4 linked regions of the Danio rerio genome follow. The main gene of each other region encodes a partner of the protein of the gene in region 2 in a complex. Links are inferred from orthologs where the notes say so. Each region holds a gene or a part of one and is shown on either strand. Other genes may lie near its edges.

Evidence for each region.
Region 1: srrm1 (region 2) and snrpd2 share a complex: the UniProt entries of both Homo sapiens proteins name them as parts of the minor spliceosome. The link is inferred for Danio rerio from reciprocal best matches to the Homo sapiens genes SRRM1 and SNRPD2.
Region 3: srrm1 (region 2) and sf3b5 share a complex: the UniProt entries of both Homo sapiens proteins name them as parts of the minor spliceosome. The link is inferred for Danio rerio from reciprocal best matches to the Homo sapiens genes SRRM1 and SF3B5.
Region 4: srrm1 (region 2) and rbm48 share a complex: the UniProt entries of both Homo sapiens proteins name them as parts of the minor spliceosome. The link is inferred for Danio rerio from reciprocal best matches to the Homo sapiens genes SRRM1 and RBM48.

What each region holds. Positions count from the first base shown.
Region 1 is NC_133193.1:43,804,206-43,807,054, reverse strand, and holds part of snrpd2 (small nuclear ribonucleoprotein Sm D2), read left to right. Parts: intron 1-533; exon of another isoform or gene 534-603; intron 604-1,314; coding exon 1,315-1,494; intron 1,495-2,849. UniProt on the Homo sapiens protein: Plays a role in pre-mRNA splicing as a core component of the spliceosomal U1, U2, U4 and U5 small nuclear ribonucleoproteins (snRNPs), the building blocks of the spliceosome.
Region 2 is NC_133192.1:26,823,025-26,827,165, reverse strand, and holds the start of srrm1 (serine/arginine repetitive matrix protein 1), read right to left. Parts: upstream 2,801-4,141; 5' UTR 2,670-2,800; intron 1-2,669. UniProt on the Homo sapiens protein: Part of pre- and post-splicing multiprotein mRNP complexes. As a component of the minor spliceosome, involved in the splicing of U12-type introns in pre-mRNAs. Involved in numerous pre-mRNA processing events.
Region 3 is NC_133188.1:27,082,030-27,086,202, reverse strand, and holds the start of sf3b5 (splicing factor 3B subunit 5), read right to left. Parts: upstream 2,801-4,173; 5' UTR 2,625-2,800; intron 1-2,624. UniProt on the Homo sapiens protein: Component of the 17S U2 SnRNP complex of the spliceosome, a large ribonucleoprotein complex that removes introns from transcribed pre-mRNAs.
Region 4 is NC_133194.1:42,804,731-42,808,673, reverse strand, and holds the start of rbm48 (RNA-binding protein 48), read right to left. Parts: upstream 2,801-3,943; 5' UTR 2,724-2,800; coding exon 2,598-2,723; intron 2,462-2,597; coding exon 2,271-2,461; intron 419-2,270; coding exon 273-418; intron 189-272; coding exon 1-188. UniProt on the Homo sapiens protein: As a component of the minor spliceosome, involved in the splicing of U12-type introns in pre-mRNAs.

The DNA of each region.
Region 1 (2,849 bases), on a different chromosome or scaffold from region 2:
CTTGTTTATCAGATGTCTCCTCGCTGCTCATCTTCACCGTGTTCACCGGGGATGATATTTACACACGCTGTGAAGTTTGTCATACCTCCGCGGATGCGCACTTCCGTTCATTTGCATGGAGCGACCTAACTGGCATCTGTTTAAAGATTTAAAGTTTACATGAATCTTTGACGCTGACATAAGAAAAATAGCATTTTAAAAATTACTTTAAATAATCCGGGAGCAGTTTCATTTAGTGAACCACCTTAGCGTCTAGTTCAGGTTCCTTTCCATGCTACTGTGAATATTCTGTCTAATACAGCATATATGACTTCAAAACAACATTAGCAGTATTTCATTGACTGTGTGTGAAAAAGTTGTACTTTGATAGTCATTGGCTGTCTGCTAATATGATTTCCCAATGTAGAATATAAAACCAACTTTACCTCAATGTAAATATTATAGGGACTGTGTCACATGTTGTCTCTGAATGAATGTGTCAATTTAAATTTTACTTCTCCTCAATTTAAATATGTTACTATTGCAGTGTGAATGGATGTAGCTCAGTGGTAGAGCGCATGCTTTGCATGTATGAGGTCCTGGGTTCAATCCCCAGTATCTCCAAGAGCCTTTCGAGGTTCTGTCCACAGACGATAAACAGGGTTAAGAAAGTGGTGTATGGTCATAGGTTTAGTTGCAGCGTCTTCAATTGTCTTATCACACTAACTGTACAAAAAAAAAAAAAAAAAAAAACTACTAACACTTCCCTTCTTAGACTTTACAGACCTGAAACTTGCCTTTAGTACTTATTCATTGTTGCTCTTAGTTGTGTAAATTGCTTCCTTGTCCTCATTTGTAAGTCGCTTTGGATAAAAGCGTCTGCTAAATGACTAAATGTAAATGTAAATGAAGAGATAAAATTGCTTTAAAAAAAAAAGTATGCAAAAGTAAGCCTATATTAACATGGCTATTTTTTTAAAGTACTCATGGCTAGGGTTTTATACTTGCATATTCATTCAGTGACAACTTGTGACATGGTTTTCTACATTAATTACCTTTCAACTTTGAATATTCGGTCTGAAATCGCATCCAAGTAGGACTTAACATCATTAGCACTATTTTATTGTCTGTAAACAATGTTGTACTTTGATATTCATTGACTGCTAATATAACTTCCCCATTTAGAATTAAGAAATAATGCTTTTCTTAAATTATTATTATTATTATTAAGAGGAAATCCAAATATGCAAATATAAAATCACCTCAATTGTAATTTGGCCGATGTAAATTTTAGCCCTTTATGCAGACATGCTAACTGTTGAAATGTCTCATCAGGAGTTTATTAAACAAGCCCAAATCTGAGATGACTCCAGAGGAGCTCCAGAAGCGAGAGGAGGAAGAGTTTAACACCGGTCCACTTTCAGTGCTCACCCAGTCTGTGAAAAACAACACACAGGTCCTCATCAACTGCCGCAACAACAAGAAGCTGCTGGGCAGAGTCAAAGCATTCGACAGGTAACTCGTGTCATTTTGAGTGATAAATAATGCAAGCAGGCTTTGTTTACATTAGTGCTGCACAATATTTCGTGTCAGCATCAATATCCCAATGTTCGCATCTGCAATAGTCACATTTCAAAATATGCAAGAATTTTGTTGACCAAGAGCGACAGAATTGTGTTTAATTACTGTATTTATACAGGATTTAGGCAAATAAAGCATTTCTTATCATTTTTGGCTTGTTTCTAGTCCAAATGTTTACATTTCAAAGCTAAAAAAATAACAAAGTAAAAGTGAAACAAAACTATATTTACTTGATTCAAAAATTTTAGATATTTCCACTAGTAATGAGACAAAGCAAAGCAAGAAAATTATTTTTTTTTACATTGTGATTAATTTCTGTGAATTTAATTTCTGTACCTGAATACTGTTAGACTCTATTGAAAACCATCAAACAGTGCTATTTAAATTCTCTTCTAAAACTGTATCCCATATTGCAACATTTATTGCAAATTAAAATCTCACACTATCAAATTTTTCTAAAATTGTGCAGCCCTAGTTTACATGCACAGGCTTGTGTTGATATGATTAAACTTTTGAATATCTGTGTTGCAATAGTTTTCTGAACAAAGTATCTGCAGAGTAATAGTTGCATTTTGTGTCAACATAACCTATGCTTGTGTCTCCTGTTTGCTATAGGATTTGCTAAGATGTGTATTTTATTTGCTACAAATAAATTATATTGAATTATTTAATGATTTTGCTGAATATTTTCCCAATACTACCATGTAATATATAAACATAATATAAATTATTACTATATAATATCTAAACTATTACTATATAATATATAAACTATTACAATATAATATATGAACTTTTAATATAAGATATTTAATATATAAACATATTATTAACTTTTCCTATATAATATATAAACCATGAATATATAAGATATATAATATATAAACTAGGCTTGGGCGGTATCCAACCGGCGGTATACCGTCAAATCTCCTCCCTATTTTAACCAGGTATCCGGTATTACCAAGCATAATAAACAAAATTACGACGTAAGGCTCAGACAGCGTCACCAAATTGTGCCTAAACCATTCAGAAACTGATACCGTATATGCGACCTTAGGTTTGCGGTCACCTGTTTGTCTTGTTTGTATTCTTCTGCGTAGGACGCTCTTTCTTCAAACACACACACACACACACACACAGAGATAGAGAGAAAAAGAAGAGAGAGAACCAAGCAACACCCAGCAACTCTCTTTCTCTCTCTCTCTCTCTCTCTCTCTCTCTCTCTCTCTCATTCACACACACACAAACACACACCGAGAGAGAGCACCAAGTGACACACGCAGATTGCA
Region 2 (4,141 bases):
CCGTCAAGGAGCAATAAGACCCTCCCAACCACTATGGCTGTCTCATCCTGTGCAATATCAAACTCCTGAGAGATAGAAACATTACAGTCCACAAACAGAGTGCATCAAAACCCCACAAAGCAAGAACAGTCCAGTTGTCTTCAGTGTGAGTGGCGCAGGCTCTGTGGGCTGGGGGGGCGGAGAAAGGCGCTCCATTGGCTGGCCTCCGCCTCACTACCGCATCACACTCAATCACCTTGAGTTTAATGCTATATCATTTATCTAAATTGCAAGAGACGAACAAGCAATAATGAGTACACAAGGCATAGAAAAGGTTTTATTAACAACAAAATGAAGAGGAAAATCAATCCTATTAGACCCGTTAACTAAGACACACGTGCTAAATCGTGCTCCTGAAGATGTGCACCAGAGTTCGGTTTTAAGAAGAGCTGGAGCAGAAGTTTGCAATGAAGTAGATCTTCAAGAGCAGGACTGAGCACCTGCTGTTCTAAAATAAGGCCTATACAAATGTGTCTGACTTTATACAGGTCAAGCTCTCTCAACAGGATCTGTGGAATAATTGAAACATTTACTTCTTTTTTTAGATGCCAAAGACTTTTAAGTATTGACTTACTTGCATTCTACAGCAATGAATTTATATTGGCACAATGAAACCATGCGAGGAAGAGTGATATATATATCAGTTATCTCTGTGTGCGCTTGCATAAAAACATTTTGAAAATCTTATATAATTATGGTGCAGGCTCTTTAATAAAATACTACAATATTATCCAGTAGGGCTGTGCAATTAATCGAAAATCCGATTTTGGCTTCCAACAATTATGAAAAACCATTAATCGAGATGAACGATTATTACATTATTTACCGCCCCCTTTCCAGTTGTAAACATTTGTTGCTCTTAAAAGCACGAACTAAACCGCATGCTCCTGTTTGTGTGTGTGCAGCGAGCACACACAGTCAGAAGCATGCGGTCAGCATTCGGTCTCATTCGCACACGGTGACGAGCAGAGCGCACATCTAAAGTCATTAATGTGAGCGTTTTAATTTTCAAATAGGCGTCCATACGCGGTGTTTAGTGATTATTCATATTAACCCTCATTTGTGTAATAAACAAACGAGTTGAGAATCAAAAGAAACGTAAAAGCGAAACCTTTAAAGTGACAGCGCACTATTTCTGCTACCGCCTGTTTCGATCAGTATTAATCAAATAAAAAAAGGAGAAAATCCCTTACTGCTCTTGAATGAAGGACTTTTGTAGCTTAAGTGTTATTTTATTGTATTTATTTCTCTTACCTTTGCAGGGAGGAAAATAACTGTTGAAGTCAGAATTATTAGCCCTCCAGAATATTAGCAACCCGTTTCCCCCAAATTTTGTTTAATGGAAACATTTTTTTTAAACACATTTCTAAACATAGTAGTTTTAATAACTCATTTATAATAACTGATTTCTTTTATTTTTGCTATGATGACAGCACATGATATTGGACTAGAAATTTTTCAAAATACAAGCATTCAGATTCAAAGTGCGATTCGAAGGCTTAATTAGGGTCATTGTTAAGTCATTGTGTAACAGTAGTTTCTTCTGCAGACAATAAAAAATATACATTGCCTTAAGGGGCTTATAATATTGACCTTAAAATAAGTTTCAAAATATTTAAACCTGCTTTTATTCTAGCTGAAATAAAAAGACTTTCTCCAAAAGAAAAAAATATTAGAGAAAATACTATTAAAATTCCTTGCTCTGTTAAACATAATTTGGGAAATAATTATTTAAAAAATTCACAGGAGCACTAATAATTTTGACTTTAACAGTAATCATTTTGAATAATCGTGATTACAATTATGACAAAAATAATCAATCGCAAAAAATCAAGTAATGCACCCTTCATTTAAATATGCGAGCATATTTACTATACAAAAAAAAAGTTAATTAATTGTTAGCAAGTTAAAATGTTTATTCAAGATTTTGATTTTAGAGTGATTCAACAAACTTTTTATTCTTTTCATCCTGGCAGTCATAATCGCTGTAATTAAATTACAAATAACTGTAATTAAATGTTTTATTTTAACAAAGAAAAGATGACTAAATTATTCTCTTAGGTATATCATATTATTCCACAAACACTGTTGATTAAGCTCAACTTGAAGAATTTCTTCAAATTACTATATGGCTATGCCATGACAAATTAAAAGTATGTTTTAGACTAAGGAAACACCTTAATGTATTATAAATAAGAGCAAATACCTCTCTGGAATCCCAGCAAAATCTTCCTGAAAATTAAATCTGTACAGACTAAAATAGCAACTAATACAGAGAGCCTATCTAAAACAGATAAAAAGGGTCACGTCTCTTTTTTTCGTACTGTTTAAAGGCACAATCATACAAAAAACAAAGTCTTTAATAACTGACAGATGAGCAAGTAACTGAGACTCAAGTAAAAAAAAAAAACAAGTCTCTTACACTACCAATGTTGTACTGCATTATCATCCTACATGCAAAATCATCTTTTCATTTTATTCCTTAATAGTTTTCATTTCCATAAAAGTGATAAATCAGGCCTTTATGTTTAAGATGTACTGCTAAACTTTGACTAAAACAGAAAGGCACAAATGATCAAGCTGAAATGACTCTACCACTGGCACAATGTCAAGCCCTGCTCATAACTCACCTCAAAAAATAAAGCTCATCATCAAGGGAGAGTTGGATTCAGAGAGACTTTGGGCTCAGTTGAGATCTAATTAGGAGTTGGTGCTATACTTCAGATGCAAGGAATAAGATCCATATTGGTTCAGGCCTTTTAAATCATAAATCACATCAACATTAGAACATTGCTGTTCAGAAGGAACGGTGTCACAAATCATTTCTTCAGAGAGAAATATATCTTTTTACCCCCTTTTCTGTCTTTTTTTAAATCAGGCAGACAGTTTAACACTGTGATGTTAGATGTTTCTGCTGTTACATCTTCACATGACAAATGTTTCAAATAACTGTCAGCGGTTATTCATTGATCTTCAAACCTTCTCTTCTTTCCAAAGCACAACACATCTAATATAGACTGCAGCATGTGTATAAAAAAATAAAACAAGAGCGGGAAGAGCAAGGTGGGGGTCTACCTTTTCCTCCAGCTGGTTAAAGACAAATTCAATGACCACATCATCCTCGAAGCCAAGTATCTCTGTCACACGCTGGGTTATCCAGGGCTTGATGACTTCCAGGTTGACCTTGGTCATATCCACCTAAAACCACATCATAAAATAATCATAATTACAGGATCTTTACTTGTATTGAGCTAAAAATGGTTTATTGTCAAATTACAAATCAGAAATAACCTAAAATGATGATTTGCTTTGCAAAATTACTTTGTATAAATACCTAAATTTTTAGTTCTTCTAAATATTACTTGCAGAAAAAGAAGCCCCGTTTTCACTGCTATAAAATGTGTTTTTACATGTACACTAGGGCTGCACAATATATAGTTTCAGCTTCGATATTGCAATGTGTGCCAGAGATGCGCGGTTGGCGGTTATAGCCGCGGACTCCGCGGATAAACCGCGGATCGGGCGGATGACGTTACGAAAAAATAATATTTTAATTAAATTCGGGCGGGTGGCGGGCGGTTGTACTGTTTTTATATTCATAGCTGGCGCACCAACGAAAAAGCCTAGGACTGACTTCACAGAATGGGAGGAGGAATCGGATACATTAATTCTGGATGTAGTGTACAAAAGTATTCCTCTACAAACTTCCGTATAGACGGATCAGCATAGGAAAATCTACTTTCCTTTTGGGAGAAATAAGGCCAGGCATTCCCATGACTACAGCACCTTTCCAAGAGAATTCTATGCATTTCAGCAACAAGTGCTGCGAGCGAGTGCTCCTTCAGTGCAGCAGGGCGCAGTGGCTATGCAGGCACTCCCGTCTGAATCCTGACACTGTAGATGCCATTTTATTCCTGCATTGTGCCAAGAAAAAATCAAACTAGACCTAAGGTCAGGCATATTAAACCAATTAGCCTATGTTATTTAGGCTGCACATATGTTCAATATAAACTTTTGAGTTTGGTCAGCTGATAATTTTACGTTCATATTGGTTTAGCCTATTCTATTCTAGACATGTTGGCCTCGCTTTTACGTTCCGAGG
Region 3 (4,173 bases), on a different chromosome or scaffold from region 2:
GTGCCATAGAGCAGCAGTGAAGAGATTGTAAATAAAAAGGATGTAAGGATGTCGCTAGAGAGTCTTTCTGGTTTCTTTTCTTGTGCATCTCAGCCACTAGCTCCCCATGTGAAAGATTTTTTTTAGCTTAGTGGGTAATGAAGTCATTCAACCTCACAATTTTGTAACATGTATTTGAATAATGATGGTCGGTTTCTTTACTTGAAAGCTCAGATTTGATTATCATAATTTGTTTTGTTGACAGAGTTTAAGGTATGAATAATGATACAGTAAACCTCAAAGTTTGCTTTAATTGTTCAGCGTTTACTCTTTGCCATTGTGTACACTTTTTAACATTTTATTTATCAAGTTTAGGAGTTTCTTTACCACTTATATTTATATAATAAAGAGATCAGATAGTCTGTTTAAATATTTTGTTCTTGACTATTAAAACTATTTGCCTCAGTAATGTTGGTAAATTAAAATAAAGTGGTTAAATAAAACAAATCCTAATATTCACAAATGTACTGTTAAAAATATTCAATAGTTATCTATATCGAACTATATAAAACCTGATATTGTGATCCTTTTTTTGCAATATTGCCCAGGCCTATGTTGAGCTTGGATTATAACTCATCCTTTTAAGTGTTTTTTAAGGGTCTGTGAGAGTTTTAAAAGCGTGCAGGCCTCAGAAATTGAACTGTTTTTAACTTTGACAAATTCTATTGAATTGGTTCTAATACGAAGACTATGCAGTATTATTTTACATTTTAATTACTGTATACCTGATCACAGTTTGACTCCTGGAACAACAATAAAACGCTGTTTATATAATTCCATTTTTTTTGTTAATTGTAGATCGTTTATATTTTATGCATATGCACTCCCCTACAATCATCCTAATCAATCTAACTCACTATGTTAAATTTTTCCAATATCATGCAGCCCTATGACACTGTATCAGACATACTAATGTGCTTGTAAAATAATAAAAATAATCAAATCATTATTATTTTACAAACACATTGGTATGTCTGATTCAAAAATAGGAAGAATTTTGTGTTTTAGCCATTGTAAACGTCTAAATATCCTTATTTTGTTGTTCTCCAAAAACTACTATTACGGTATAGTAATATTTAGGGCCTTTTATGATCCGTTTTAGGAGACAGGTTTGTTTTAATGTAGCGCAATAAGTAAATCAATAAAATTAACAAATTTAAAAATAAACTATAAATGCATTATGTTTCAAACTAGAATACAGATCTGATCAATAGCATAGAACAAAAATAAATAACTTATTTTTCCAGTGTTTGCATAACAGTATGCAAGTATGCAGTATTCTACAAGTACTACATATCTTTATCTACACATAGACTGCATTCCATTTGAATTCTTGCTTCGTAAAGCGCTATACGGTTTAGTCTCAAAGACGCATTGGGATATAAATGCAGATTCAAATCCAGATTGATAAAATTGACCAAAGAAGTCAAATGTGGATCATTTAGCATGTTGTTGTAGCTCAGAGGTATTGCACATTTACAAAGCCAGGGTTTCTGCAGGTTTCACCAGGTCTAATTTAAAACTTTTAAAGACCTTTTTAAGACCATCAAGAATGAGATTTCAGACACATATAGGTATAAACGCAATAGGTTTTTTTTTTAATGGCCCTGCAGGAAAAATAAAATTATATATATTTTAAATAATGTGTCAAATAAAGCAGACCCTAGTTGTATATATGCATTTTTTTCAACATAACTTAAAAAAAATAACTGTTAAAAAATTTAATAAACTATTGTATGCACAACACGATGTTATAATATTGCTTATAAATAGAGCTTTGCTAAAAGTTTAATTGAGATGTATTGTTAATGATTGGGTGTGTGTTGGGTTGATTGGGTAACCTTTGATACAAAAAAGGAAAATTAAAGACCGTTTTAAAATTATTGAGGCTTACCTACAATACCATATTTAAATAAATTTAAGACTTTTTAAGGTCTACAATTGTGTTTTGGAAATATAAGACTTTTTAAGATAGAGGTAAAGTTGGTTTTATATTCAAACATTTGTTAGAGGTAAAGTTGGTTTTATATTCACACATTTGTTCATTTAGATGTGTCTATAATGTTTACCATGTTACTTTCAATATTCGATCGGAATTAGCATGCAAGTGTGACTTGAAAACAACATTAACACTGTTTATTTGACAGGGAACAATGTTGTACTTTGAAAGTCATTGGCTGCTAATACGATTTCGCCATTTAGAGTTTGCAAATAATACTGTTATGAAACTGTATTATTAAGGGGAAAGTCAGAATGTGCTAATATAAAACTAACTTTAACGTTACCTCTATCTTTTTAGGTCTCCGCGGGCACCCTGAAAGCACGCTTGACTTAACGCAGTATGACTAAATGCGTGCGTTATTCAAAATTATGAACATTTAAAAATATGAAAAGAAAAAAATAACTTATTTCATAAATTAAAACAAAGACCAATCATCATAACGTAAGCTAACGTTGCGCTGTGAACAAACTAACTTAGGTATGCGAATGTGGCAAAATTACATTACTTCAAAGAATGCAATTATTTTTCTCCTTCGGCTAAAACTAGTGGTGGGTATTTCTGTAAATATTATCGGTATGCTTACCTATAATGAAAAACTGTGATGTTTTATGGAAAAACGAATGAATGATTCCCCCAGCAGTTATTGTACACAATGGCTGTGCGAGGTGACTTCAACCGGACCGGAAATAGTTACTCTGAAATCTGTATGTGTGGAAAATATCACTGCAGTCAAGAGTTCCGCTCTGGTGGAAAGCGCTGCTCATGCTGCTGGGCCTTATTATTGTGATAACGACTTCTTATCCTCCGTATTACATATACCTTAAATGTGGGATGTGTGGAGGTGGAATATTGATTCTAGCTTACATTATATTAGCTTACGTGACTATCATAAATACTGCTCTAGGAAATTTCAGAGGTTTGGAAAAACAGTCAGCTTAGCAACAGCTTGAACATTTCACTGATAATAATAGAAGATAAATGTGTAATAAAATAATGTTATGTAAAATCTCTAGGTTATATAATGTAATTACATACATTGTAAAAATCCTCCATAATAGGTTTCTTGCATTACCCAAAGAGCACCAGGGCTTCTGACTGACTTGATATTGTTGCTTAGCCTACGATCAGCAGTCTAAATGAAATTTTAATGTTATTATTAATTTAATGTTAATAATAATATTAATGTTATCAAGAGAAGTTCCTAATTCAACTCTATGTCTGACTGAATTATATTATGCCAAAAAATCCACTAGTTGTCACAAAGTCAATCAACAGCACTTCTTCAACATTTCTTCTACCATTGATTCATAAACAAAGAAATCCCTCCTGCCATGTGAACTGTTTTTGGTGGAAATTTGCAAGGTAACCTTATTTTTTTCTCGACATATTACATTCTAAAAACTTTACAAAGTTATGTTACTTGCACATGACCACAAGGTATTATTATATATCATATATGATGACTAAAAAATTATTTCCAGGACATTTTTGTTCACTGTTCTGTTCTTGCTGGTTGAATCCATTTCCAAGCCTTGAATCTTGAATCCCTGTCAATATCTGAGAGACAGCTGAAAAATACTGTGTTCCATCAACACTTAATTGCAATCAATCAACCAATCAATCAATCAATCAATCAATCAATCAATCAATCAATCAATCAATCAATCAATCAATCAATCAATTTTCTCTTTACATAATTTCTCTATTCTTGCTTTTATTATTGTTAATAATGCTTAATTATAATTTTACATCACTTTTTCACATAGATGGATACGTGACTGCATGGGCATTGCGAGTGTTCGTGTCCATAGAAATGTATTATCCTCCCTACCTGTTAAATTTGATCTAATCCATGTCCTGAAACACACTTCATCGTCCACTTCCACTTCTAATGCCAACTAAGGGAGCAATTCGTTTGTGAATGCATCTCTGTTGTGAACAATTTGTGTGAACTATTGATATACCTGCTTTAATGTGCATAATATCCACCTTTCTGATCTAAATGGTATAAAATTTGTAATATTCAATAATTCTGGGTGGACAGTATTCAAATTAATGTCCAGATACTGTAATGGTATCAGGCACCCTTATAAGTTATTTAAAAAACTAGCATTTACTTCACTTAGCCAACA
Region 4 (3,943 bases), on a different chromosome or scaffold from region 2:
TTGAAGTCTATAAGAAATATCTGCTGTTGGAGGCAAAGGCAACAGAGGAAATCCCATATAGTCAGAATTTACGTTCTCCCTTCTGGCTTCTTCAGGGTTTTTCTGCATTTTAGGAGCTTCAGCTGTTCGTGTGTCTGTGCTTGATGATGACTCTGTGTTTACTTCCGCTTGCTGACTGTGTAGTTGTGCTGAAAACAAAATAAGCATATGATAGTTGTTAGACTTTCTACACATGCAATTTATTTAGAGAGAATACCAATGCATTACCATACCTGCATTTCGGCTTGCCCAGTTAACATATCTCCTTCTGTCTTGTAATTTCTGCTTTGTTTCCTCCACGGTTTCATACTCAGGAGCATAGCAGACATGCAGCTGACCCCCGAAGAAGCTCTTTTCATCTGTGTGCCTTTTAGCTGCCCTGTAAAAAAATAAATTAATTAATTAATTTAAAAAAAAAAAAAAATTATATATATATATATATATATATATATATATATATATATATATATATATATATATATATATATATATATATATATATAGCATGGCAATATCCACTCACTGGCCATTTTGCTAGGTACACCTGTCCAACTGCTCGTAAACACCAATTTCTATGCAGCCAATTACATGAAAGCAACTCAATTCATTTATGCATGTACATGGTCGAGACAATCTGCTCCAGTTCAAACATGAAAGCATGGATCCATCCTATCTGCTCAATGACATGCTATCATGTCAATATGGACCAAAATTAATGAGGAATATTTCCAGCTCCTTGTTAAATCCATGCCAGAAAGGATAAAAGCAGTTCTGAGGTCAAACCCGGTACTAGTAAGGTGTACCTAATAAAGTGGCCGGTGAGTGGATGTCATTCAGTGTAACAATAGTTTATAAGAAAAACAATTTTTGTCAGGCATATTTTTAAAAATCCCAGTACAGCTATTTTTACTTTGACACTATCCTAAAAATATATAGTTTTATTAAAATATAATTAAAATAACTACGATTACTTAATTCCATATATTTGAAATAATTATTCTTTGATTTTTGCTTTGGTTTAGAGGGGAAAAAATATGTAAAAAAGTATTTATAGAATTATCAGCAATAAATACTCTTTATAATATTCTTAAAATGTTTAATGGCAGTAAAGAGATTTACAGTGTTATTAAAGAGAAAGAGACACTAAAGAACATTAAAGAATCTTGAACAAAAAAAAAAAAAACCCTTAGATGTTTTGGATGTTAAGTTGTGCAACTTTACAACATTGATAATAATTAGAAATTATATACTGCACAACAAATCAGCAAATTAATTATTTCCGAAGAGTCATGTGACAATAACCATGTATAAATGCGAGTACCAAGCATGAAAATTACCCTTCATCCTCAACACAATACATTACACTTTTAAACAAGATAGAAAATGTGACAATGTAATAATACATCCGATTGTTGATGCTTTGTTTTTAGTTAAAAAAATATTAGCTGACTTGGTGAGCATAAGATGCTTCTTTCAAAATCATTTTCAAAATGGAAGACTCCAAACAATTGTATGGTAGTGTGTGTACTGTATATAGTTTTCTATATGTGTTTATTTAATATTTTAATAATGAATCATAATGTTTTAAGTCACATTTTGTGGAACCTACAAAGACAGTTCACTCCAAAATAAAAATAGACATCATTTACTCACCCGTTACATGTCACAAACATCGTCTGAGCTGAACACAAACGATATTTTAAAGAAAGCTTGAAGCCGGTAACCATTGACTTCAATACTATTTATTTGTCCTACTATGCAAGTTGATGGTTACTGGATTCCAGATTTCAAAATATCTTCCTTTGTGTTTCAAACCACTTGAGGGTGAATAAATTGTTATTGTTACAGTATTTGAGTCAACTATCCCTTTAACTAAAAGTGAATGCGACTCTGCAGTGCACCAACATGGTACATTGAGGTAAGGATGGTTTTAGATTCACACATTCTTTCAATGACAACTTGTGACATGCTCCCTATATTGTTTACCATGGTACTTTTAATATTGGGTTTGAAATCACATGCAAGTATGACTTCAAATCAGCATTACCACTATTTATTTGACTGTGAACAATGTTGAACTTTGATAGTCACTAGCTGCTAATTTGATTCACTATTAAGAATATGCAAAGAATACTTTTCTGAAATTATATCATCAACAAGAAAAATATGGCACAATATATAATATATGGCACAGACTCGCATGGGACATGATTTAATCAGCCTTTTCTTACCGTGCACTCGTCAACTTCTGGAACTGAATTAAGTAAACCTCAGTGAACTCTTCTGCTGGGTATTCATCCAGTGGCCTGTACTCCTCGATCACTCCATACAGAGCAAACAGCTGCACCAGCTCAGCCATCACTCCAATAGCGGGCACTCCTTGAACTAGTAAATACCGAGACTCCAGGTTGATGGTGTACACCTAAAATTAGCGATTCAGCCATTATTTTTATAAGCAGAGATTCAGTTCTTGTGAGAGAGACCTTAAAGACAACATGACTGCTTACATTGACGCTGCACAATTCGATGAGATAAAGGCATTTATAAAATAAACCGACCTTAACAGCTTTGAGGCGTCTTCCTTCTCTGTATTTTGGTCGCGTTTGGGCAACATTTTGCTGCTCGTGATGTTTATACACTTTTTGTGTGTCCCACACAGAGGAACTAGCAACTGACCCGTCCATCACTGTGGAAATCAGCGACGAAAAAAAACAGGCTTTCAAAATAAAAGTTCCAATTAGAAAAAATAAATAAAAGCCCGCTTTCCCAAAAGGATGCTAATAAAAATAATATTAAGAAGAATAATGATGATGGTGATAAAAAAATATTATAATGATAATGACGATGATAATTATAATAATAATTCATTTACACATCCAAATTATGATAAACACTTCTAACAAAATAAAATAAATATCAAAAAGATTTGGACAAAAGTCAAAATTGTAAGATGCTAACTCGCAGAAAATGTCGCAACTATTATAAATGCAGACGAATTAATTATAAACTATATTATAAATTTATTTTAAGTTTTTAACGTTTAAAACAAGCTTCTTTTTTTACCCATTTAAAGGGTTAGTTCACTCAAAACCGAAAATTCTGTCATTATTTACTAGGTTGTTGACTTGTTCCAAACCATTTTGATTTACTTTCTTCTTAACACAAATTAGGATTTTTAAAAATACATATAATACAAAACTTCCATATAATTATTTTCAGCATTCTTCAAAACATCTCTTGTGTTCAGCAGAATAAAGAAACTCAGAAAAGCTTGGAACCACCTGAACCTCTGAGTAAATAGTGAGCCCATTTGATTTTTTGGGGTGAACTCAATATATTACTATAAATTACTAGTAGGCCTATTTAATGTGGGAGATCATTATAAAAATTATTAGAAAATTAAGCAAATATATACTATTCAGTTGCTGGAGTAAAAGATTAACAGTGTTTTACATTTATTAAATGTAAAAAGATTTGTACATTACATTGATATAATGATGTAGGCTATTAGCCTATCCTGTACATTAGCTATATTTCATTCATTATGCATCCATTAAATAAATTAAACCTGTCCAAATTAGATCGTTTAAAATGTTTGAGCAAACGAGAATCTGCTATGTTGACTTTGTCAGATAAATAATGACTGATCATCTATGATGACTGATGGAAAACTGTTCAGTGTATTATATTGAATGGTGATTATTCCCCATTCGCCCGTCTTGATCGCTATATTTGTGAAATGGTATGCCTATGCATTATTGTTTACAGTGTTTGCCTATACAATACATATTAACAATAACCTTATGTGTAAAATATATTGATGATGTCCGAGAAGAGGTTAATAACATTAACACCCGTCTAACTTAGATCGTGTGTGCCTGAAACGTGTGTATATCTGCAGCTG